4 linked regions of the Mus musculus genome follow. Each later gene encodes a partner of the first gene's protein in a complex. Links are inferred from orthologs where the notes say so. Each region holds a gene or a part of one and is shown on either strand. Other genes may lie near its edges. The genes, in order: Dlg4, Cript, Htr2c and Shisa6.

Region 1 (4,603 bases):
TTGTGGGAAGCCTCTGCGGAAGGACTGCAGCTCCTCTGTGCCCGCCGCCTGTCTTTCTTACTTCTTGCCCTTCCTTCCATCTCTGTGCTAGGGATTGAATCCAGGGCTCCGTACATGTTAGGCAGGCACCAAAACCACCGTTGAAAATCCACCTCAGCTCACCTCCCGACTGCTCAGTAGCATTTTCTCCCTTCTCGGGGCCTCTTTTCTCATGAGTCCCCTTCCTGTCTCTTCACAAGGCGTTGAGGTCTCGTCCCTCCCCTTCCCTGTCTCTCCCCTCCATCTGCTTTCTTTGTTCAGGTGGCTGGTCTTATCTGCCCTCTGCTATACTGGTGTCCCTGAGAGCTGTGTGGCCTGGTGGGATGCCTTCTTGGAGGTTCCAACCATTCTGGATGTTGCCTTTAGGCCATCTCCATTGGGTTGTCCACAGGCTTGTCACAGCCAACATGTCTTAGACTCAGCTTGCTGTGTTTCTCCTGGATGCCTGTGTTATGTCTTAGGGACCCACACCTAAGCGCTCCCTCTCTGTGGGAGGCTAGCAGGTGCTGGGGGTCATTTAGTTCTCACTGCATGACTCGGGGGCTTTTCTCCCCAGCCCCACTGCTTTTCTCTGCACCTTTGTTCTTTCAGAAACTTCCCAGAGCTTTTTGTCCTTAGACAGGTCTGGGATTGCTTACCGTGTGTGTGTGTGTGTGTGTGTGTGTGTGTGTGTGTGTGTGTGTGTGTGTGTGTGGGTGTGTGGGTGTGTGGGTGTGTGGGTGTGCATGTGTGTGTGTGTGCCACCCGGGAGGTTCATACTTTGCTTGCAGATCCCGTGTGTGTGTGTGTGTGTGTGTGTGTGTGTGCCACCGGGAGGTTCATACTTTGCTTGCAGATCCCTTGTCCAGAATCTGGCTGGCTCTCGGGGTGCCTGGTGAATCTTTCCTGGGGTCTTCAGCCAGGCCCTGACCCATAGTCACTTGTGTTATCCAGGGCCCTGTTTGACTACGACAAGACCAAGGACTGCGGTTTCTTGAGCCAGGCCCTGAGCTTCCACTTTGGGGATGTGCTTCATGTAATTGACGCCAGCGACGAAGAGTGGTGGCAAGCGCGGCGGGTCCACTCTGACAGTGAGACCGATGACATTGGCTTCATTCCCAGCAAACGGCGGTGAGGCTCCTGGGGCCCTGAAGCTTTCCTGATAGAGACGTCCACGTCCACATGGTCCCCCAGGGTGGGCATTCAGTAGGGACTCCTGGGAATCTGCTGGGGACCATGGCTCCCATCAGCCTCTGGGAGAGAACGTCTCCTCCGTGAGGGACATAGGGCCCAGGTGCTGCTGGAAGAAGGGGTTCCCACCTGGACCAGAGGGCCTCACTGAGCATTTCCTGACTGTCCCCCACTCTTCCTCTATGTATCCCATAGGGTCGAGCGACGAGAGTGGTCAAGGTTAAAGGCCAAGGTAGGTGGAAGGTAGATGAGGAACTTGGTGGAGAAGTGGTCGGGGTGGCCTCTAAATCCCAAGCCTACCACGAGAATTGCTTTTTCTTCTAGGACTGGGGCTCCAGCTCTGGATCACAGGGTAGGTAGAGTTAATTGGAAAGCTGTGGGATGAGCTGAACGTGGAGTTCCCCTTGGGCAAAGCAGGCAAGATGGTCTCCAGGTCACCTGCCTTGCAGAGCCCCTTGCCGATGCCCTGTCTCCTACCAGGTCGAGAAGACTCGGTTCTGAGCTATGAGACGGTGACGCAGATGGAAGGTGAGCCTCTGCCCCAGCCTCGGCCCTTCTCCCCGCATGCTTTGCTGGCTGCCTGAGCCAAACCATTTCTCCCCAGTGCACTACGCTCGCCCCATCATCATCCTTGGGCCTACCAAAGACCGTGCCAACGATGATCTTCTCTCCGAGTTCCCCGACAAGTTTGGATCCTGTGTCCCTCGTGAGTACGGGGTCCTTGGATCTCTGTGGAGTTGGAGTTGGGGGACCCAAGGAGTCTCACTTTGTCAGGGCCATGACACTGGAGTAAAGCAGGACACAGATCACCTTAGAGGAGGGCTTTTATGTCTGCAGCCAACAAGGCTGGGCCAGAGCCCGGCGGGCCCCAGGGTGGCAGTTCTGTCCCACCTTCGTCTCAGTCTCTCTGGGTACTCTGGGGGGCTGGCTGATAATAGGCTGGCATCAAGGGGTGGTGGTTAGATCTTTGTGGGGCGGGATGACTTCTTGGCAGATACGACACGTCCTAAGCGGGAATATGAGATAGACGGCCGCGATTACCACTTTGTCTCCTCCCGGGAGAAAATGGAGAAGGACATTCAGGCGCACAAGTTCATTGAGGCTGGCCAGTACAACAGCCACCTCTACGGGACCAGCGTCCAGTCTGTGCGAGAGGTAGCAGAGCAGGTAAGAGCTGGCCGGCACGTCGTCCTCTTCCTCCTGCCCGCTCCCTACCCCATGGCCTCTTCCAGCTCTCTCTAACTCTCTTTCTCTCTGTCTCTTTCCCTGCTGGGTCTGCACTCCGCTCCTCCACCTCCTTCTCCTCTCGGGCAACTCTGACCGCCTGCTCTTCTGTGGCCTGCTCCCCTTGCTTCCTGACCCCATGCCCCCCACTGCCATCTGTCCTTGTCTCTCCTGCTTCTCTCTCCTTGCCCCATTTTCCTCTCATCCCGGGGTTTTGCCTTTGGTGGCTTTGCCTTTCCCAACTTGTTCCTTTCTTTCTTCCTGACTCCCCTCTGCTCCTTCCCTTTTTAAATGGGGGGGGGTCCCCACTACCCTCTCTCCCATCCTCCTTTATCCCCCTTTCCCTAACACTCCCCACACTGCCTGTCCTCCCTCTGTGGCTCTTTTCTCCATCTGCCTCCCCTCCCTCCCATCTGTCTCTCCCATTCCTTCCATCTGTCTGTCCTCTGTCCGTCCTCCCCTCCTCCCCCCTCTATCCTAATTCTGTTATCTTCTCCCTTCACTGTCTTTGCCCGCCTGCCCGGCTCTGCCCGCTGCATCCCACCTCTACCACCCCTCTTGCCTTTGCTCCACTTTCACCTTTCGGGTCCTCTCCCCCATCTCCTACACTCTGTTTTGCCCCCTTCCTGCCCTCCTGTGCTTGGCCTTCCGTCTTTCTGTCCCCCCTCCTCCCTATTGGTCACTCTGCCTACATCCCTCTTTCTCTTCTTTTGCCTACATGTCCCTTGGCATCTGTCACTTTCCCTTTGGCCAACCTCCTGCCCCCACCTTCCTATATTCTCTGTCTCTTCCTGGCACCTCTGTCTGTCCTTCCTGCTACCTGCTGGCCCCCCTCCGCCCACCCTGCCTGCCCCCAGGGGAAGCACTGCATCCTTGATGTCTCAGCCAATGCCGTGCGGCGGCTGCAGGCGGCCCACCTGCACCCTATCGCCATCTTCATCCGTCCCCGCTCCCTGGAGAATGTGCTGTGAGTATGGTCCCAGGGGCTCCCCCTCAGCTCCCTCCACCTGTGACCCTGGGCTCTCAAGGTCCCCTACCTTGATCTGTCCTTTCAGAACCTGGGACAGCAACTCCCACAGTGTTCAAAGAGCTGCATTGAGAGTTGAGAGTCAGGGCTTGAAACAATGGGGGGGGGGCTTTCCCCCTTCTCCTGCCTTGGGTTAGGCAGGCCTACAGTTCTCAGGAGCCCCCCTGGGGCATACACAGGCTGTTGCAAACCAGAACCTCAGAGGCAACTAACTGGGAGTCAGTCTGAATTCTTTCTATGGGGCTAAAGGCTGAAAGGATGAGTTTCAGAGGTCCTGGATGGGGTGGGTTGCCGTGAGCACATCTGTAGCCCCAGAGGGTATCAGAAATGATATCGTTTGCTGTGTGCTCCAACTATGAAAGAAGTTGTAATGCAGCCTGCCAGGAAGGAGGTAAAAATGCAGAGAGGGGCCTAGCCCTCACATCTGTGTCTCTCTCCCTCTTGACAGAGAGATCAATAAGCGGATCACAGAGGAGCAAGCCCGGAAAGCCTTCGACAGGGCCACGAAGCTGGAGCAGGAGTTCACGGAGTGCTTCTCAGGTGAGAGGCCAGGCAGTCCCGTGAGCCCCGAGGACAGGGTGTGCTGAGATTTGATGGAGCTGCTCTACTGGGTGTGGCCGGTGTGGGAAGAGGGGTCTTGTCAGTGGGCTCAGGGACCCATGGCTCCTGGCTGAAGGACTAGGAGGTGCTCCGGGCTTCGGGCTCCCTGGTCACATGTCTTTGTGACCTTGGCCTCACTTGCTGCTCTGCCTGACTTGCAGCCATCGTAGAGGGCGACAGCTTTGAAGAGATCTATCACAAAGTGAAACGTGTCATCGAAGACCTCTCAGGCCCCTACATCTGGGTCCCAGCCCGAGAGAGACTCTGATTCCTGCCCTGGCTTGGCCTGGACTCACCCTGCCTCCACCACCTGGGCCCTTGGTCTGGACTGAATAGCCCAAGCCCTTCGTACCCTAGCCTTTCTTCCCACCCTTCTTATTTATTTCCTTTCTGACTGGATCGAGCCCATTGGAGGGAGGACACTCCTCTCTGCATGTATCCCTGCACCCCAGATCAGGGCCCCTAGACCCCAGGAACCTGGGGTCTGGGGGGGAGCTGGGCTCCTGGTTCCGAGCCCTTGCTCCTTAAGACTCCTACCCCTGC
Region 2 (6,479 bases), on another chromosome or scaffold:
TCAGGTATGGGGCTTGCTTGTCCCCACACTGGGGAGACAGAGGCTCTCTGGAGAGCCACTCTGGCCTAAGTGATAAGCTCCACACCATTAAATGTCCTGGACAGGGCAGGCGGACAGGGTTTCTAAAGATAACACTTCAAGTTGTCCTCCAGCCCCCAAATGCATTTGCCCACCCACATACCTAAAAAAATGTACAAAAGTAAATGAAAATAAACTGCAGTGTCTTGTAAGTTATCTTCCGTGATAAAACCATGCTTATATAGGTCATTCACATTGTGATGCATTGAAGGAGTCATAATTCCACAATGAATGCACAGCAAGAATCTATCAAACACTGTAGGAAGGTAACAGGCTACTGCTCTGGTGGGGGCGGGGGAGACTTGGTTCCCTTTACACTGTAAATCACTCAATAAGGACGAAGCGAAACTTCCTTCTTACACTGTAACCTCCACCCTAAAGCCAGTGAAGCAACAGAAGTGACCCTTACCTTATGTGACAATGAACTTCTTTTAGAGGACACATTCGGTTTCACTACTAAGTACGACAAGAGATTGACAGTGGTCACAGAAGCAGAGCAGATACACAGCCAGGTCAAATGAGCTTCCAATACTGAGAAGTTGTCCACGAAGAAGGACGGAATGAAAATGCTTAGGAAAATTGAAAATACGCACAAAAGATTGGTATACAGAAGTCTCTTGATGTCAGTATCTTTCATGATGTTTTCTTGGGTAGCTATCTAGTAGAAAACAAATTAAGAAAAACATGTAATGATTTTTTTTCCATTGTCCCAAGCACTTCAATACTCTAAATATAAACCATGTATTAATAATTTTCTATGGGCAACATATTTGTTTCAAAACACAGAACAAGCATATGCAGATTTTAATTGTTACTTTAGATTTCTCTAATATGGTATACATTATCTTTCAGAGCCTCAAAAAGAAAATTCCTGTAAAAATTTAAATATTTGTGACTGGTTTCTACAAAGGGGACATGTGCCAGACACCAGCAACTAATTTTACTTTTTTGGCGAAAATCACTGCAGTTCCCAAATGACAGCCAAGTATACACTTAGATATGCAAATGGTGGAGGACCATCTTAAGATGGTCATTATGCTACACTAAGGGCTCACACTGTCTGTACAGATGTTAAATAATGGTAATAGCAGAACGCGAGTGGGAGGAGAAACAATAGTTTCCAGTCTCTAAATACATATATTTGACCTAGAGAACAGTTTCTATGTTATACTGACTAAAGTTAATTAAGAACTTAAAAGTAACACATGTTACAATGTAGTAAAAATCGGGCCCAAAAAGTAACATCCACACCGCAGGGTGAGGAACTAGCAGGAAAGGTAAAAGCGCAAGTCTGGGCATGGTGCTATTAGCCCTCATTTCATTCACACTTATCGTTTTCAAAAGCAAATGATACTGATTAAGAAAACTGGATGAACAAGTTAGCAGATACGGCCAAGGTTACACACGCACAAGCCATTTCAAGCATCGCCTCTTTAAACAAGAAGAAATCCTCCAGGGTCGGGACAAGAACGCATAGCCGTGAAAAGACTTGGGGAAAGTTTCTCAGATTCTCCCTTCCACTGCGGGGTCAGGCAGGAAGCGCGATCAGAAATCCATCCTAGGCCACCGGCAAACACCCATCTAACACGGCGAGCGCGAGCGGTACCCAAACGCAAAGGTGACACCGGCGAGCGAGTCCCCGACCCAGGACACCACACCTGGGAAGCCGCCCTCGGGACTCGCGATCCCGTGAGAACGGGGTCGGAAGGCTTGGCTGCTCCCGAGCCCTCCTCCTGAGCAGCCTTTGCTCAGGTGCGGACCGCAGCTCCACCCCACCCAGGTGGCTCCGTCCCAGCCTCGGACGGCGCAGTGTGGGCAACTGGAGGTCGCCATCATAGAGAGAGCCCGTGCGGCCGACCCGGTGACCTGAGGTCGGAGTCCCCTGAGAGACTGTGATAGACGCCGGCATCTCAGAGGGTCGGTAGCGCAGGGCATCCTCTGGTCCGCCGGAAGCGTGGCGCCCTGGAAGTCACCGCAGCGGTCGGCGGTGCGACCTGCACCCGCCCCGGGCGAGTGTGAGAAGCAACCCGCCACCGGCTTACCTAACTCTCCCGCCCGCCGAAGGGAAGGGGGACACCACCGCCTCCCACCCTCAGGTGCTACAGGCTGGCATGGCCCCTGGCGCAGGCGCAGACCAGAAAGCGAGGGGGCGGGGGGAACTCACAAGCGCACAGCCAATCGTTGACGAGAAGGGGCGGGATAATGAGAGCAGCCCCGCCCATCAGCTCGCGTTTATCCCTCCCGCGACTTTCTAGGTACGGGATAGGCCGGAGCGGGAGGGCTGAGAGTCCGGAAGCGGGCTGACGTAGCCGGAAGAGGAAGTCGTCTCCGCTGGGGCGTTGTTGTGTTTGGGTTGCTGCTCCTGCTTTGCCGGCTGAGGGCACAGGGACACCCCCATGTAAGGATGGTGTGTGAAAAGTGTAAGTTCAGGGGCTGCTTCTGGGGGAGGTGGAGGGCTGAGAAGTTCTCTCGGGATTTCTCTGGTTTTCCCCTGCTGGTCTGTGGCGTAACCGGTGTCTTCCTACCCTGCCCCTCGGCCCTTCTTGCCTGTCCCGTAAGCATAGCCTTCCGCTCTGTGTTGAGAATGGCTTCAGTTCTGCGCCTCTTGTGTTTGTTTCTGTTGTCGTCCTCGCGCCCCTTCTGGGTCTCCTCCGTTACAACTTCTTGATTGGCTCTCGGAGGCTTAAATCGGATCTTCACGATCTTTCTGGTAGCATCAAGAGTTGACAGATGTCACAAGTATAAGTTCCAGGCTCTCGGTTACATCTTAAGATTATAAGCAATGGTTAATTTCCAGTATTATTAATATGTCCCGAATAATGTTTAAATCTTGACTTTCTGCTTTTCCTTACTACAAAACATGCCGCATTTAATACAGATTTTATTTATTTATTTATTTATTTTTGGTTTTTCGAGACAGGGTTTCTCTGTGTAGCCCTGGCTGTCCTGGAACTCACTCTGTAAACCAGGCTGGCCTCGAACTCAGAAATCCGCCTGCCTCTGCCTCCCCAGTGCTGGGATTAAAGGCGTGCACCACCACCGCCCGGCTAGATTTTATTTTAAAAATTACTTCAGTGGCTATCTGAAATTAAGTTAAATTGGATATTTTGAGCCATCCCGTCAATTCATTAATACTCACAGCTTTGGGTCAGGTGAAGGAGAGAGTCTCATCACCACCAAAGAAATCTTTAAGTAGTCACCCCTGGCTTTTAGAAAGGTCTTTTTAACCCTTTTAGTTACCATTCAGTAATTCCAATGAAACCCTTAAGATTTGTTGTAAATATTTAATTTTTTTTTTTTTGGTAGCTGCAAAAGCTGATGATTCGTTTAAAAACAACTTTCTTCTCTTGATCTCTTTCATGGGCTAGACAGCCTTCTCTGACAAGATTCAACCCACATCTCAGTTACTGGCGGATATACAGGACCCATTTTGTTCATAGCCCCTCAGTATGTAGAACTCTGGACACAGACACCCCTCCAGAGCTGTGCCATTCTTAAACGGTTTTTTATTCTTTTCGAAAGTGGGATAAATGGTTAATTAAATGTGGCTTAAATGTATTTAGATTGTGAAGCCGTCCTTTGTGCTGTGCCCTGAAAGGTCATTTCCTCTGCTCTTCTGAGAAATCTAAGGTCTTATTATCTGTAGCCTCTCAGTCTGTCTGCTCATTGCATGCACCCCGTAAGTAAACTGAGGTACTTGCATACAGAAGCTGTAATGTCAGCAGCCGCCTCAGTTCAGTCTTCCCTTGTATCACACATTATTCGAGAAAGTTACTTTTCTCCAATTTTTTAGAGTTACCTCTTAGAACTTGGCACGTACGTGTTCTCCAGTTGTGCATTTACTGAGTTCCAGGGAGTTTGGTTTCAGTGTGCTTTCTTTTCCTTGTTCTGTTAGGTGTTTGAGGACTGTTTGGCCTCAGCTGGCACATCCATACCACTGAGCATCCAGTGCTCTTCTCCACCCTGAACAGTGCCCTACTTAAACAGTACTAAGTAACTGTCCATTTGGAGCATATAAATACAATATATTTATCATTTTAAATTGCTTTGTTTTCATCAGAACCTTGCATGGTGCTTTGTACAGACTAGGTGATTAGAGAATGTGAGAGAGAGGAATGAATAAGTTTGTCAGAACTGCTTAAAGTATAATCAGTTAAAGCCTGTTACTAGAGCATCGTTTTGTCCTGTAAGTTTTATTTAGAACCAGTATCTGTTGCCCACTGTTACTATCTTAAGTTTTCATTCATTGGTTTCTACCCTGGCATTAGTAGGTTCCTCCTATAATCTGACTTCATATCGTTATGTACTTTAGGCGATACAATATATTTATCATTTTAAATTATTATTGTAAAGTTAGCAAAGAAATGGGTTTTGTTATTTTATTTCCACACAGTTTGCTTATTAGATGACAGCTGTTCTCTTTTGCTGTCTTGGCGACCACAGGTGAAAAGAAACTCGGCAGAGTTATCACTCCAGACACATGGAAAGATGGTGCCCGGAACACCACAGGTACTGTTTGCTGTTAGGAGACAGGAGCTGGGTCAAGCGCTGTGGCCCTGCTCTGGTGCGTCACATTTTGCACAGTGCAGTGTTAGATGCTGATTACCTTGCCCAGTAAACACCGAGGGCTCGGTTCTCCTGGGAGTGCACATCTTTCTTCATCATCTGAGTTACATGTACGGATTCCTCATATAGTCAAGAAGTAGTAAAATTATTATTTCAATGTATGTCTATTTGATTCAGATTGGTAAAGTCTGTGTTTACATTTCCTTCCCACATCTAAGTTTTACATTCTCAAACAAATTTAGACTGCCTTACTTTTTTTTTTTATTAAACGCATACAGCAAAGCCCAGTGCAGTGATGCATGCCTTTAATCCCAGTACTTGAGAGGCAGAGGCAAGCGGATTTCTGAGTTCGAGGCCAGCCTGGTCTATCTACAAAGTGAGTTCCAGGACAGCCAGGGCTATACAGAGAAGCCCTGTCTCGAAAAACAAAAACAAAACAAAACAAACAAACAAACAAAAAAAAACCAAAGTAGACAGATGTTACACATACAAAAAGAGTGTAGGCATTGTCAAAGCACTACTTTAAGACTGAACAATAAAGCAATTATACAGTGTTCATTAAAAACTGGGCTATTATATGAAGATTTTTAAAAATTACAATAAGGGTCTGTGATGGTTTGTATATTCTTGTACCAGGGAGGTGTGGCCTGGTTGGAGTAGGTGTGTCACTGTGGATGTGGCCTTAAGATCCTCACCCTAGTTGCCTGGAAGTCAGTCTTCCACTAGCAGCCTTTGGATGAAGAGGTAGGACTCTAAGCTCTGCCTGCACCAATACCTCCCTGGAAACTGCCATGCTCCCACCTTGATGATAATGGACTGAACCTCTGAACCTGTAAGCCAGCGCCAATTAAATGTTTGTTTTTTTTTTGTTTTGTTTTTTTGGTTTTTTTTTTGTAAGACTTGCCTTGGTCATGGTGTCTGTTCACAGCAGTAAAACCCTAACTAAGACAGAAGTTGGTACCAGGAGTGGGGTATTGCTGTGATAGGCCTGACCATGCTTTTATTTGAAAGAATGTGGATTTTTGGACTTTGGATTTGGAACTCAGTGGAATGCTTTAAATGGGGCTTAGTGGGTCATCCTAGTAGGAATCTGGAAGACTTTGTTGCTGGGAGTAACTGTGTTGACCTGGCCCAAGAGATTTCAAAGGAGAAGAATTTCAGTATGTGGCATAAAGACTGTTTTTGTGGTATTTTGGTGAAGAATGTGGCTACTTTTTGCCCTTGTCTGAAAAGTCTGCCTGAGGCTAAGGTGAAGAGACTCAGATTAATTGCATTGACAAAGGAAGTTCCAAAAAAGCCCAGCAGAGACTTTGTTCTCTGGTTAAGTCTCATAAAGAGAAGTTTGAACAAGCATAGCAAGCTTAGAAAGGAAAAATATAAAATATATGGTTCGAGTATTAAAGGCATACTAGGAAGTGAAATAGAGCAAAAACCTGTGTTCTAGGAAATAACAGATTAAGGGAGTGGGACCTTGGGGCAAGATCCTACCAGCTAAATTTAGATCCAGGCCTGGTGGTACATACCTTTAATCCCATGAGACAGGCATGCTGATCTCTGCGTTCAAGGTCAATCTACAGAGCAAGATCCAGGATAGCCAAGCTTAGGCAGTGAAGGATTTGGAAAACATAAAGCCAGTGATAATGTAATAGTACAAGCGGGTCATGTTCTAGTTCCTGCAAGCAACAGAACTTGGCAGCTTCAGCCATGTGGCTCTGGCTCTAGAGTTAAGAATGGAAGGAACTACTGGGACAATTGATGCTGGTTAGCTGGAGCTAAGAAATTAGCAGTGATTAAGAAGAGATCAGCATCACTGAGGTGAAATCTTGTGGGAAGTA
Region 3 (5,688 bases), on another chromosome or scaffold:
ACCAAGCTACTCTATGACCTGTATCAAAAATATGAATATTTTGTATTTAAAGATAATAAATGGGGAATAAGAATAATCTAGCATCTAATTAAATTTTAAAACTCATCTACTCAGATGATATGGGAATAATAGCTCCAATTCCACTTATTCTAGTTTTTATGGTTGCTTCTATCACGGGTAAGACTTAGAGAGTTTCTTCCCCTTTCCTTCTTGTATAAACTGAACAATTAAATCAAATGGCTGCTTATTGTGGTGCTATAAACCTGTCGTCCTGACCCCAAGGTGACTGAGACAGGGTGGTTACAAGACTGAGCATAGCTTAAGATACATACACGCTGAACTGGAGAAAAAGTGAAAAGGGTGAAGAGAGGATGTTCTTATAAGCAACTGATTTTGTAAGGAATAGTAGAGCATGCTAGAGATCTGAAGGCAGGGATTGAGGGTGTAGTTGATAGGGCAGAAACACTGTGGTTCTAGAACGAAGCAATAGTTGAATTTAATAGAATGCAATGTAAGGACTAGTAAAGAATCAAATATGAGAACAAAGCCACTGAAAGTCTCACTTAACCCAAACCTACTATTTAAGGAGTGTATAAACCCTGAGCAGAATAACCAAAGTCTTGAATCCCTTTGCTCCTATGTAATAACTGAAAATAATAAAGAGATAGATAGAAGTAAAAATAAAAACTAGATAGATAGATAGATAGATAGATAGATAGATAGATAGATAGATAGAAGTAAATAAATAGATCTCATCCAGAATAGCCAGTCACAAATGATGTTTTCAAACAGAAAAAAATTTAATTATTTTATTTATTTACATTTCAGGCATAACACCCCTCCTGTCCTCCCTCCCACAGTTCCTCATCCCATTTCTCCTCCCCCTTGCCTCTGAGAGGGTGCTCTCCCCTCCAAACTCTCCCCTTCCCTGGGGCCTCAAGTCTCCCAAGAATTAAGAGCATCTTCTCCCCTGAGGACAGACCAGTCAGACTTCTGCTCCATATGTGCCAGGGCCCTCAGACCAGCTGCTTTATGTTAACTGGCTGGTGGCTCAGTCACTGAGAGCTTCCTGGGATCTCAGTTGGTTGAGACTGCTGGTCTTCCCACGGGTAGTTTTCCCTTTCAGCTTCTTCAGTCCTTCCCCTAATTCAGCCACAGGGGTCCCCGACTTAAGGCCAATGGTTGGGTGTAAGTATCTGTATGTGTCAGCCACCGGCTATTAGGATCTCTTGGAGGGCAGCCATGCTAGGCTCCTGTCTGTAAGTACATCATAGCATCAGTAATAGTGTCAGGCTTTAGTGACCTCCCATGAGATGGATCCCAAGCTGGGCCAGTCATTAGACCTCCTTTCCCTCAGTCTCTTCTCTATTTTCATCCCTATAATTATTTTAGACTAGAACAATCCTTGGTTAGAAATTTTAACTGTGGGATGGCAATCCAGTTCCTACACTTGAGGCCCTGTCTATTTACTGTAGGTGGACTCTTCGAGTTCCCACTTCCCAATGTTGAGCATTTTGGCTAAGGTCACCCCAATTGAGTCCTAAGAGTCTCTTGACTCTTGGGTCTCTAGAATTTTCTAGAGAGCCCACTCACCTCCCATCCTCCTGAGGCAGTGTAGTTCCATTCTTTCTCTTGGCCCTCTGGGCTTCTCTCCTGTCCCCCCATACCTGATCCTGTTTCCCTTTTCCCCTTCCCATCCCCTCTCCTATCCAGGTCCTTCTCTTCCGCTGCCCCCCCCCCCATATTATTTTATTCCCTCTTCTAGGAGGGAGGAAATTTTGAACATAATTGTTGTCTTATTTTTCTCATGGAAGATACATTTGTTGGTTTTGTTGGACACACCTTAGGAGCTCACATCTTTAGCAAATATTTGTGTTTTCAATGTAAATAAATCTCATCACTATGAGAGAAATTAATTTGAAATTAACAGAAGTGAAATAGAAACATCTCCCTTGTCTTATATCGCCACCTAACCTGAAATTCTTACTGGTAAAATATAAGGACCAATGTAAAAATATGTATTTAAAATAATTTAAGAGATTTAATACCTAACTCTACCTCTACCCTAAATGGGAATCAATCATTTACACACATTACTCTTAAGCCTAGAATTAAGTCCTAGAAAACCAAGGACACAAATGAGGTAGGCAGTAGGGAGCATTAAAGTTTAAGACACGAGGCAAGAAGCAGACAACCATTAGAAACTCACTTTGCAAGCACGAGAACCTGGAAATACTCCTAAAAAGAAATGAGTGTGCATTGCTGTCACAGCAGCTTTCAAAACAAATCATAAACTGTTCTGATAAAGTCTTATGCTTTCTTTTAAATTTAGAACAACACAATTCAACTTCCAAGTATCTTGTCTGGCCACTGGCTCCTTTAAGGAATTTTCCCATGATTTCTGTCACAGCTGTCTTAAAGAAATTCATATTTTAAAAATATAAAGAATAAAACATTAAGTCTGTCTCTGAAAGACAGATGTCACATTTTTTCTCTCATTTGTAGAGCCTTGACTTCATAGATACACTTAATCATGTATGACAGATGACATGAAGATAAAAGCAAAACTCTCTCAGGAACAAAGACATCTAAGAAGGGTGAGGGAATCTATTGAGTTGGAGGAAGACATATTAAAAGTACTTTCTATACTTACATGAAAATGGTCTTTTGTAATACAACATAATAAAATAAAATAAAAATCTAAAAGAAAATATAAATTATCACACTAAGTCAAATAATACTGTATTTTGAAATAGCAGTAATATTTAATATTTTAATATGGTCTGAACCTAGACCATATGATGGCCCCTGGTCCTGTCATTTACTTGGCTACATTGGCTGGGGAAAGTGGCAAAACCCTTTTTTTAACTTCATTGTTTTTTTCAGCTGCATAATGAGAACAAATCATTACTGATCTCCTGTGGGATATATATATGTGTGTGTGTGTGTGTGTGTGTGTGTGTGTGTGTGTGTGTGTGTGTGTGTAAACTAAGTGTCTACCTTATAGCAGTCACTCAGTAAAAGATAATGATAAAAATGGGAAATGAGGAGGATGGAGGTGGTCATGGTCATAGTAGTGGGAGGGGGCTACAAGCTATTGTATAGTATATATGATATATTGTGAGTAAAGGGAGCCTAATTTTCCTTTCTCTTTTCTTTTTAATTTTCAGTGTGCACCTAATTGGCCTATTGGTTTGGCAGTTCGATATTTCCATAAGTCCAGTAGCAGCTATAGTAACTGACACTTTTAATTCCTCCGATGGTGGACGCTTGTTTCAATTCCCGGACGGGGTACAAAACTGGCCAGCACTTTCAATAGTCGTGATTATAATCATGACAATAGGGGGCAACATTCTCGTTATCATGGCAGTAAGCATGGAGAAGAAACTGCACAATGCTACCAATTATTTCTTAATGTCCCTAGCCATTGCTGATATGCTGGTGGGACTACTTGTCATGCCCCTGTCTCTGCTTGCAATTCTTTATGGTGAGTACACTTTTACTCATTTCTCACTCTCATAGTTTTGTAATAATCATCAGGATATAATTTATACAGTTAATAATTTATCTAAAGAATTTGAAAAAAATATAGAATAAAACAAAATGTGAGCAAGAAAAAATGATTGGATATGTTGAGATTTATGAAATAAAACTTTGGCAGAGTTTTCAAAAGTTAAAACACCTATTTTATAATATATTGAAATTATCCATAAATACTTTATTTGCAGGTGTCATATATAAACAATAAATAACCATACAAAATGGGATAGTGGCAAAATGGCACCCTGACCTGTATTTGGGCTAGCATATTTATTGTCAGTGCCATCTCTAATACACAAAAGGAAAGCAAAATTTGTCTTCTATAATGATTTTATTTTAAGAAATGTTTCTGAGTAACAGATATTGAACCCAGGGCCTAATTTACTCTAGGCAAGCACGCAATCACTGCTATACCCACAGCATATGTAATCTTTTATGTTGACAAACTAAATAGTTGGTACAAATTATGCACTTAATAGGCATTGCTCTTCTTTTTCATGCAGTTTATAAGTCATGGTTTTATAAGGAGACGAGGTATAAAAATTAATTTCTGAGCACATAAATGTAAGTTCATATCACAACTATCACAAAACTCAGCTTCAATGATTTTCAAGAGGCTTTAATTTTTTCTTTGATTTTCTGCCATCTCTTTGCTTTATTCATTTTAATCTACGTTTTGGTTTTGGTTTTGGCTAGTACTCATGATTTTAGAAAAATCAAAATCACATTAAAATCCTGGTCAAGAATACTAAATTGTCTTCCAGAGGACCTGAGTTCAATGTCCAGCACCTACATGGCAGTTGACAAGTATTTTTTACTGCAGTCCCAGGAGATCTGATGCTCTCTTTTGACCTCTGCAAAAGACAGAGGTCTTTTGACCTAGACAGTAGAACATGAATGTGGTGCAGACATACATACAAGCTAAATACTCATATACACACAAAATTAAAAGAAAAACTTCAAATGTTTTAAAATATTAATAAAAAATAAAATCAATGAATCAAAGCTCATGTGAACTTCCTGCCTCAGACTCCCAAGTAGCTGTTGCCTCCAGTATATATCACCACTGTATTTGTCTTTCAATAAGTACCACAACTACAAAATTTGAAAATCAAGTTCAAAGTTAATTGCTAATATGTGGAAGTCCCAGTTTAACTTTAATTGTTAACATACTCATCTTCCTGTAGAGGAAAAGAGAGAACAAGAACTTGTCCAACAAGTTCTCCAAATGCATAATGGAATTGGACAATGAAAATATTACTAAAATAGTATCTAGTCTAAAAATCTGAAAAGAAGAACAATGTGTCTTGAAAAAGATCTCTTGTGACACTTAAAACTTAGCCACTCCCAAATCTTCAGTGGCAGTACCTAATTTTATCATCTCTAAATGCCTTATAGATAAGGCACTCTTAGAAGCTACAGTTTTCCTATTCCACTGAGTTTCAGTGACATGTTTATCTCAAAGCATCTGTATCACACTGCTTATTTGGCTTTTTACTTCTCCAGTATTAGTGAAGACAAGGTCACAGAAACATAGTGAAACAGCCACTTCAAAGGTACTGTTTCCACCGTGAGCTCCCCACTGCATGCCTTTTTGGGGTAGATCAAAGGCAGGCTACAAAAAAATGTTATAAGGAGGCCACAGGGAGTTTAGAGGTCAGGTGGGTTGGGGGTGGGGGCATCCACGTGGAGACAGAGGGGGTGGGGAGGAGTTGTGGGATGTGGAGCTGTCAGAGGATGGATGGGGGGCAGGGAATGGAATATGAAGTATAAAAAATAAATTATTTTTTTAAAAAGTGTAACAAAAAAAATTTTTAAAAGAACATTATGAAGACCCCGGAGGTTGATCTAAAAAACTCCATTACAAAGTAGACCGAAAATTTCCCAAGATTACCTTCAAGTCACAGACTGAAAAGTCTGCACAAATCTCAAGAAAAAGTAACTTCCTGGAGGTAGAACAGAGTGAAAAGGAAAAATAAACAAGAGAGGCAGAATTGACATTCGAAGAAAGGGGAGGAGGACAGTGAAATGGTGAAGAGATTAAAACATATTTTATATGACAGAAATGTCACATAAAAACACCATTAACTCTCCCCATATTGCCTTCCACTCTTCACATAAAGCCCTTGAAAGAAACCATGCTTCTTA
Region 4 (6,289 bases), about 3.5 Mb from region 1:
GGAATACAGTGCCTCCTGGCTGCCCTTGTTTAGAAACCCCCCTATGGCTTTCACCATTGTGTATGCTTAGCTCACCCACCCTCTTTCTCCCAGTTTCCCTGCCTCTGCTGGAAGCATCTTTATTCTGTCTTGTTTTTCTAACTCCTAACCATTCTTCACCAGGCATTTCATTAGCACCCCAAGAACTGTATTTGACCCTCACTGCTCCCCTCGTGGGTGATGCTAGAAGCCTGTATCCTGCTCGCAGAATAGGCTGTGCCCATCTCGGTCATGACACAAACATGCCACGCAGAAGTCATTTGACTGTCTCCTCTGTAAAGGAACTCCTGAGAGAAGGGACTGTCATTCCTTATCTTAGCACTTACCAGTGTGCTTGGCAGGATTGGCACTAAAAACGATTGTTAACAGAGCCATTAAGAGACGAAGCCGAGGAAATCGGAGGAAGTGCCGAGGAAGAAGAGGAAGGAGGAGGGGATAGAGAATGAGCAGCACACGGAGAGTTTCTAGAACGGTCGGCCAGAGAAGTCCCCCTCTTCCCATCTCAGGTAAAAATGTCCCTCTGTGCCGTGGGTTCTGGGTTTCAGCTCCAATTCAGTCCATCCATTTAACACCAGACTCCCTGAATGCTGAGAGTTTGTTTGAGGCACATCGTGAGCAGGACTGAGTAGACCACTTCAGGGAAATTCTCTGTTACTATCATTCTAACAGCCTGCCTCTGTCTCCCACCAAAGTTCTCAGGACTACGGTCTGGGGCTGGCTGTTGCTCCTCTTCTCGGGTCTCCCACCTTCTCCACACAACACACAGCAAACTAAGACTCTGACTCCCCCTTGGGGTGGCCACATAGCTTAGAAAGCCAGACTCGTGGGTCTCCTTTCAGCCAGCCTGGTCTCACTCTGGTCACAAGGGACTCTCTAATCTGTCTCCTCCAGCAGCAACGACAGGAATGTAGGGCTTTCCAAAGAAATCTTTAAAACCCAGGTAGTTTTATTTATTTATTTCTTTTTATTTATTTTTTAACTCTCGTCTCAATGCTAGAAAAAAAGTTGGAGAAAGAGGGAATTCGAGGTGTCACCCAGAGCTGGAGCTATCTCACTCCTGCACGAGCGATGGAGGAGAAAGGAGCCTAAGTTCATCACACTAGGTGGCCCAACAGCCACTTGACCCCTGGCCTCAGTGTAGGAACCTGTAGCAATGGGCTTGACCTCTTATCTTGGCTGTGAACATCACCACTAGGGAGAGGCAGAGGCTTGCAGAAACCCCAACTTGCTTTCTGGTAGCGCAAAGACCAGGCTGAAGTAAAGCGGGGGAGTGAGGGAGGGTTAGAAATACTTGACCAGAGGGCTAGAAGGGCAATGTCAGAGTAGGTTTAACCCTGCCGCTGGCCGGCTCCAGAGGGCTCACTCTGGCCTTGCTCCGGGGTGAAGGTAGTGGGGGTGAGCTCCCTCTTTGCCATCTTAGTCGCTTAACTGGTGTCCCGGCGTTGGTGACGCGAAGCTTCGAGGCGGGGGGTGGGGAGGAGGGAGAGGAAGAGGCAAAGAGAAGTCCTGCCGTCCCCCAACCGGGCGCCCAGGCGTGGAAACGTGGGCGGCGGCGAGCGGCTGGCCTCCCTCCCCGCCCTCCCCGCGCGGCGCTCCCGCGTGTGCGGCTGTGTGAGTGCGTGTGTCTCCCTCTCTCCTATCGCACACGCTCCGGCACTAGTGCAGGCGGTTCCCGGCTCCGCTCACTCGCTCCGGTCGCTGCGCTCCCGCCTAGCCGCCGCCGCCGCTGCAGTCGCAGCCCGGCATGGTGAGTGACTGAGGTGCAGCCGCCGCGCACCCCGGCTGCCCGCCGGACCCCAGCCTCAGTCGGCAGCACCGTCCCCGGGCTCGGCGGCCCGGTGGCTTCCCCAGGGGTTCTCCACGCGTCCTCGGGCCACTGTCCCAGTCGGGACGCACTCCTCGAGGGCTGAGCGCTCCTTCTCCGCCCGGCTGCTCGCCGCTCTCCGCACCCCGTGACCGCTGCCCCGTCTCGTCCCGCAGGACCTGCCCGGACGGGACCACGCCGCCGCTGCCGCCGCCTCCGGGAGCCGCGCTTCGGGGCCGGCCTGAGCCGAGTCGCGCGGAGCCGCCGCTGCCGCGGGCGGGGGATGGGGCTGCCCGCTAGGCGCGCGGAGCCCGCAGGGGGAGCGCGGAGCCGGCGCGCAGCCTGAGAGCCCCGCGCAGCCCGCGCCCCGCCGCTCCGTGCGCTCCCGCCGCCGCCCGCGCCTCGATGGCGCCATCTCCCCGCCGCTGACCGGTCCGTCTCGCCTTTCCAGCCCGCCCGGCCGCCCTCGGAGCCCGGCCAGCCGCCGGGGCAGCGGCCTGCAGCCCGCGTCCGCCCGCGCCCTCCCGCCCGGCCCCGCCATGGCGCTGCGCCGCCTCCTGCTGCCGCCTCTGCTGCTGTCGCTGCTGCTGTCGCTCGCGTCCCTGCACCTGCCGCCCGGCGCAGACGCCGCCCGCGGCCGCTCCGGGAACCGGACCCTGAACGCGGGAGCCGTCGGAGGTCGGCGTGCTGGGGGCGCCCTGGCCCGAGGCGGCCGCGAACTAAACAGCACCGCCCGAGCGTCCGGCGTCCCGGAGGCGGGCAGCCGGCGGGGACAGTCCGCAGCAGCGGCAGCGGCGGCGGCGGCGGCGGCCAGCGCGACTGTTACTTACGAGACGTGCTGGGGCTACTACGACGTGAGCGGCCAGTACGACAAGGAGTTCGAGTGCAACAACAGCGAGAGCGGCTACCTGTACTGCTGCGGCACCTGCTACTATCGCTTCTGCTGCAAGAAGCGCCACGAGAAGCTGGACCAGCGCCAGTGCACCAACTACCAAAGCCCCGTATGGGTGCAGACGCCCAGCACCAAGGTAGTGTCGCCGGGGCCCGAGAACAAGTACGACCCGGAGAAGGACAAGACCAACTTCACCGTCTACATCACTTGCGGGGTGATCGCCTTCGTCATCGTGGCGGGCGTCTTCGCCAAGGTCTCCTATGACAAGGCCCACCGCCCTCCGCGAGAGATGAACATCCACAGGTGAGAGGCGCTACTGGGTGCCTGCCTTGGGTTCCCAGGCCTCGCGCCCCCCTTAACGGGCCTGGCCCTGTCCTCTTCGCGCGTACTACCTCTCCCCTTCTAAGTCACTTCCACAGTCGCTTCCTTTAGGAGCAGTAGGCTCTCCCGCATTCCGTAGGAAGCAGCTAGGTGTGCTTTTGGTTTTAGAAAGAATGGCAACACAAAGTACCAGTCTACGGAGTTCCTGATGTTCAAGGATAAGAATCTCACCAATAATCCCCAGGCTGTATTTCATGGTTCGTGGACACTTTACTATGGGCTGTACCATGCTTAGGTTTTTTGTTTTGTTTTTTTGTTTTTGAATTTATTTTAAAAACTGGCGTGCCACTTTAATATAAAGAGCAGAGCAGTGTGGGCACCTCACTGAAAAGAACAGCAAGCGGGTTAGTGTGAGCTGGGGGTGTTCCCAGGTGTTAAGTGCAGGATGGTATGGAAAGGGCAATTGCCTCTGCCTGGAAGAATGTTCCCCATTGCGTGTTGACAGAGCACAGAGGGTAGGTCTCCCAGTGGGGTGCTTGTCTTTCCTGATGAGACTGGAGGACTTCTCCCAAGGCAGACCTCCCTGAGTTCATGCTTCTGTAATGTTCAGGCCATCTTGTACTGCACACATGGTAAAGACAGTGTCTACTGTCCCCTTCCAAAATGTGTAACAGGAGTTGAAAACCTGATAGTCACAGTCCCACTCTGATTTCCTCCCACCCGTGTCTCTGGCTCCCCAGGGAGATCATTGGAAAGTCAAAGCCAAAGGGACAACAGGAGCCCAGCCTCTCCTTTCGGAACTGCACAGGCAGAGGATGCGAAATCAGCTGTGCTTCCAGCGTCCCCATGAAGATGAATGGTTGGATGTGGTTCCAATGAAAAGCCCTGCCCCAGGAAACACTTCCATTTCTGGCACACAGAGTGGGCACTGCCCTAGTTCCCAGGCCCAGCCCCCAGCCCACTGCTTGTGAGTTGACCCACCAAGGCTGGCCTGGTCCCTCCACCTTTTAGCTCATATCTGCACATTGCTTATTATCTCCGTGGCTTAAACCTCCTCCTGTCACTGCTCTGAACATTAATCACCCCTACCTTGCTGAAAAGAGGAAGGCAGGCAGAAATTTCTAGGCATGCTGGAAGAGCTGATTCTGCCTGCCTCTCCCACCCTGATCTGGTGGGTGTTGAGAGGAGATGTCAAGGACTAGACTTGGATGCACTCTAGAGGGAACATCCCTTCTTAACCCTTCATTACCTGACCTTGCCACCACAGTCTTCCTGTAGCTATTCCCAGCATGGGCTTACTCAGCATCCCTTTGAACTGGACTAGGCTTGTGAGCAACAGTCTGTGGTCTCCATGCCTTGCTATGTAGAAGATGGGCACTGTGAACAAACTAAGAGCAAGACACCACTTTTTAGGAGTTTGTTTGGTCTGGCAGTGAATTCTCGCTTGGCTCAGTTTGCAAAGCAAAGAATGGCTTAGAGGCAGGTGCCTTTCTGAAACAGATGTGCATTGTTTCTCGTGTGTTACCTCTGACCCAGGACTCGGGGACTCATCTCCTCTTTCCTGTCTCGACTCAGTAAGCCCACGTTGGCTCTCACCACTTTCTAGTTGATTCTCACGAACATCTCTTGGGGTTTCTCCCTGCCTCCTCCACTCCTCCCCTTCTCCTCCCCCATCCCCGCACTCTCCCTCCCCCTTTCTTCCTTATTCAGTTTGTTCATGACAGCCTACGTTGATAAGGTTGTAGTCTCAGAGATTAAAGTCTGAGATTGAATCCCTGTGAAAACTGGACATTGCCATGTGGTTTTGAAGAGGTTCTTGATGTTCCTCTCTTCTTCCCCACATAGTGTCTCTGTCCCACATGGAGGGGGCAGTTTCTAGGGTTGGGAGAAGGAGAGAGTGAACCCTGGGGGAAAGAGCTGAATTTCAGGCCTCAGATCATTATGGAAATAGGCAATGTTTCTCCCTCAAATTCACCCCCTGATTTCATTCAGTTCACAGCACCTCTCCAGCAGCTGCAGCCTCGCCTGGTGGGTGCTACGGAAACCATCACTCTGGTACTGGGTGTGTAGGGGACAATACTTATCAGTGTTTGTGAGCAGGTGGGGGCTGGGGATAGGAGGACACCAGGAGTGACCTTGAGTAGGTTAGGGAACTTCGTTTTTTAGTTCTGGCAAGACAGCATATCACCCGGACGTCTTCCTTCCAAGTGTGTCAGGATGCGTGCCCACATCGCTCTCACATGCTCCTCTGGGCAGGAGCGGGAGGGGGCTCATCTTCTTCTGCTTAGACCTCAGAAGTCACTGCTTACCCCACCCAGGTGGGGTTGGGGGCTGTGTAGTCTGTGTTGTTAGAGAGGCAAGGTTGTAGGAGATATGTATTCACAGTAATGAGTTTTTCCTAGGGAAAGTGGGGAGAAACAAGAATGGTCATGGTCAGAGGTCAGGTAGGGAGATAGGATGTGCTTCAGTTTCCTGCTCTTTTGAAGTAGTGCAGCCGAGATGTGATGTGTCTTTACTGCAAGGGAGAGCAGAGCTGCTGCAGTGTGTGAGCCTCCCTGATGATAGACAGACTTGGGCCCTTCCTGCCCTGGGGCAAGTGGTCCTGTGTCTGAGGGAGTTTCAGTGAGGAAAGCCTCACTGCAAAGGGATATTGTGGGAGTTTGAGAAAAGATGGAAGAGAGATAGGCCATCTGCTCTGCCTTGGTGCTCGCAGGCTGGGCAGCCCTCTGCTTGCCATACGCATGTGTATTCCTCATGGCTCTTGCATCTCTCCCTCCCTTGCAGGGAAGAACAGATTTTGCTTTTTTTCAAGAAGTGATTAGCCCTCCCTAGCGTGTTTCTGAGTGAGAAGTCAGTGTCTGGAGTAGAGATAGCCAGCTCTCTGGGGAATTCTAGCAGCGAGCACACCCATATCCAGCTGGTTGGGCTCCGGGGAGGAGAAGGCGATGTTAGAGCTGGATGAGGGTGTCCCACCTTCCAGGCTGGAACCCCAGTTCTATTAGAAGGTATATTCTTTTCTTATTTCTGCTTTAGAACGTCTCCGGTTAAGGCCGGAACCACAGGCATCCCCCGATTGTCATAGTTTCCTGAGTGTCCCTGAGGTTGTTACCTGGGCTGTTTGCTCAGAGAATGATGACCATGTGCTCCAGGAGTATGGGCTCTGTCCAGCATCCAGCCTAGGAGGCTGGCCCCCTTTGACATTCTATTCTGCCCTTAGCTGTCTCACATCCAAC

The links.
Region 2: the proteins of Dlg4 (region 1) and Cript are in contact, whole or in part, in a crystal structure (PDB 5HED), measured with the Rattus norvegicus proteins. The link is inferred for Mus musculus from reciprocal best matches to the Homo sapiens genes DLG4 and CRIPT. Residues at the interface, in NP_062567.1 of Rattus norvegicus: Gly322, Leu323, Gly324, Phe325, Asn326, Ile327, Val328, Gly329, Gly330, Glu331, Asp332, Glu334, Ser339, His372, Glu373, Ala376, Leu379, Lys380, Arg399, Phe400; in NP_063972.1 of Rattus norvegicus: Lys94, Asn95, Tyr96, Lys97, Gln98, Ser100, Val101.
Region 3: the proteins of Dlg4 (region 1) and Htr2c are in contact, whole or in part, in an NMR structure (PDB 2MHO), measured with the Rattus norvegicus proteins. The link is inferred for Mus musculus from reciprocal best matches to the Homo sapiens genes DLG4 and HTR2C. Residues at the interface, in NP_062567.1 of Rattus norvegicus: Gly74, Leu75, Phe77, Ser78, Ile79, Ala80, Asn85, Pro86, His87, Ile88, Thr97, Lys98, His130, Val134, Leu137, Lys138; in NP_036897.2 of Rattus norvegicus: Val452, Val453, Ser454, Glu455, Arg456, Ile457, Ser459, Val460.
Region 4: Dlg4 (region 1) and Shisa6 share a complex: the UniProt entries of both Homo sapiens proteins name them as parts of the postsynaptic hippocampal AMPA-type glutamate receptor (AMPAR) complex. The link is inferred for Mus musculus from reciprocal best matches to the Homo sapiens genes DLG4 and SHISA6.

The regions. Positions count from the first base shown.
Region 1 is NC_000077.6:70,040,368-70,044,970, forward strand, and holds part of Dlg4 (disks large homolog 4 isoform 6 precursor), read left to right. Parts: intron 1-972; coding exon 973-1,149; intron 1,150-1,404; coding exon 1,405-1,441; intron 1,442-1,533; coding exon 1,534-1,561; intron 1,562-1,689; coding exon 1,690-1,737; intron 1,738-1,813; coding exon 1,814-1,915; intron 1,916-2,203; coding exon 2,204-2,376; intron 2,377-3,290; coding exon 3,291-3,400; intron 3,401-3,908; coding exon 3,909-4,000; intron 4,001-4,221; coding exon 4,222-4,328; 3' UTR 4,329-4,603. UniProt on the Homo sapiens protein: Postsynaptic scaffolding protein that plays a critical role in synaptogenesis and synaptic plasticity by providing a platform for the postsynaptic clustering of crucial synaptic proteins.
Region 2 is NC_000083.6:87,023,178-87,029,656, forward strand, and holds the start of Cript (cysteine-rich PDZ-binding protein), read left to right. Parts: upstream 1-2,383; 5' UTR 2,384-2,482; coding exon 2,483-2,498; intron 2,499-4,521; coding exon 4,522-4,587; intron 4,588-6,479. Other genes in the region: Pigf (phosphatidylinositol-glycan biosynthesis class F protein), read right to left, coding at 488-715. UniProt on the Homo sapiens protein: As a component of the minor spliceosome, involved in the splicing of U12-type introns in pre-mRNAs. Involved in the cytoskeletal anchoring of DLG4 in excitatory synapses.
Region 3 is NC_000086.7:147,072,561-147,078,248, forward strand, and holds part of Htr2c (5-hydroxytryptamine receptor 2C precursor), read left to right. Parts: intron 1-3,170; coding exon 3,171-3,487; intron 3,488-5,688. UniProt on the Homo sapiens protein: G-protein coupled receptor for 5-hydroxytryptamine (serotonin).
Region 4 is NC_000077.6:66,522,058-66,528,346, reverse strand, and holds the start of Shisa6 (protein shisa-6 precursor), read left to right. Parts: upstream 1-2,220; 5' UTR 2,221-2,382; coding exon 2,383-3,038; intron 3,039-3,796; coding exon of another isoform or gene 3,797-3,935; exon of another isoform or gene 3,936-6,289. UniProt on the Homo sapiens protein: Involved in maintenance of high-frequency synaptic transmission at hippocampal CA3-CA1 synapses.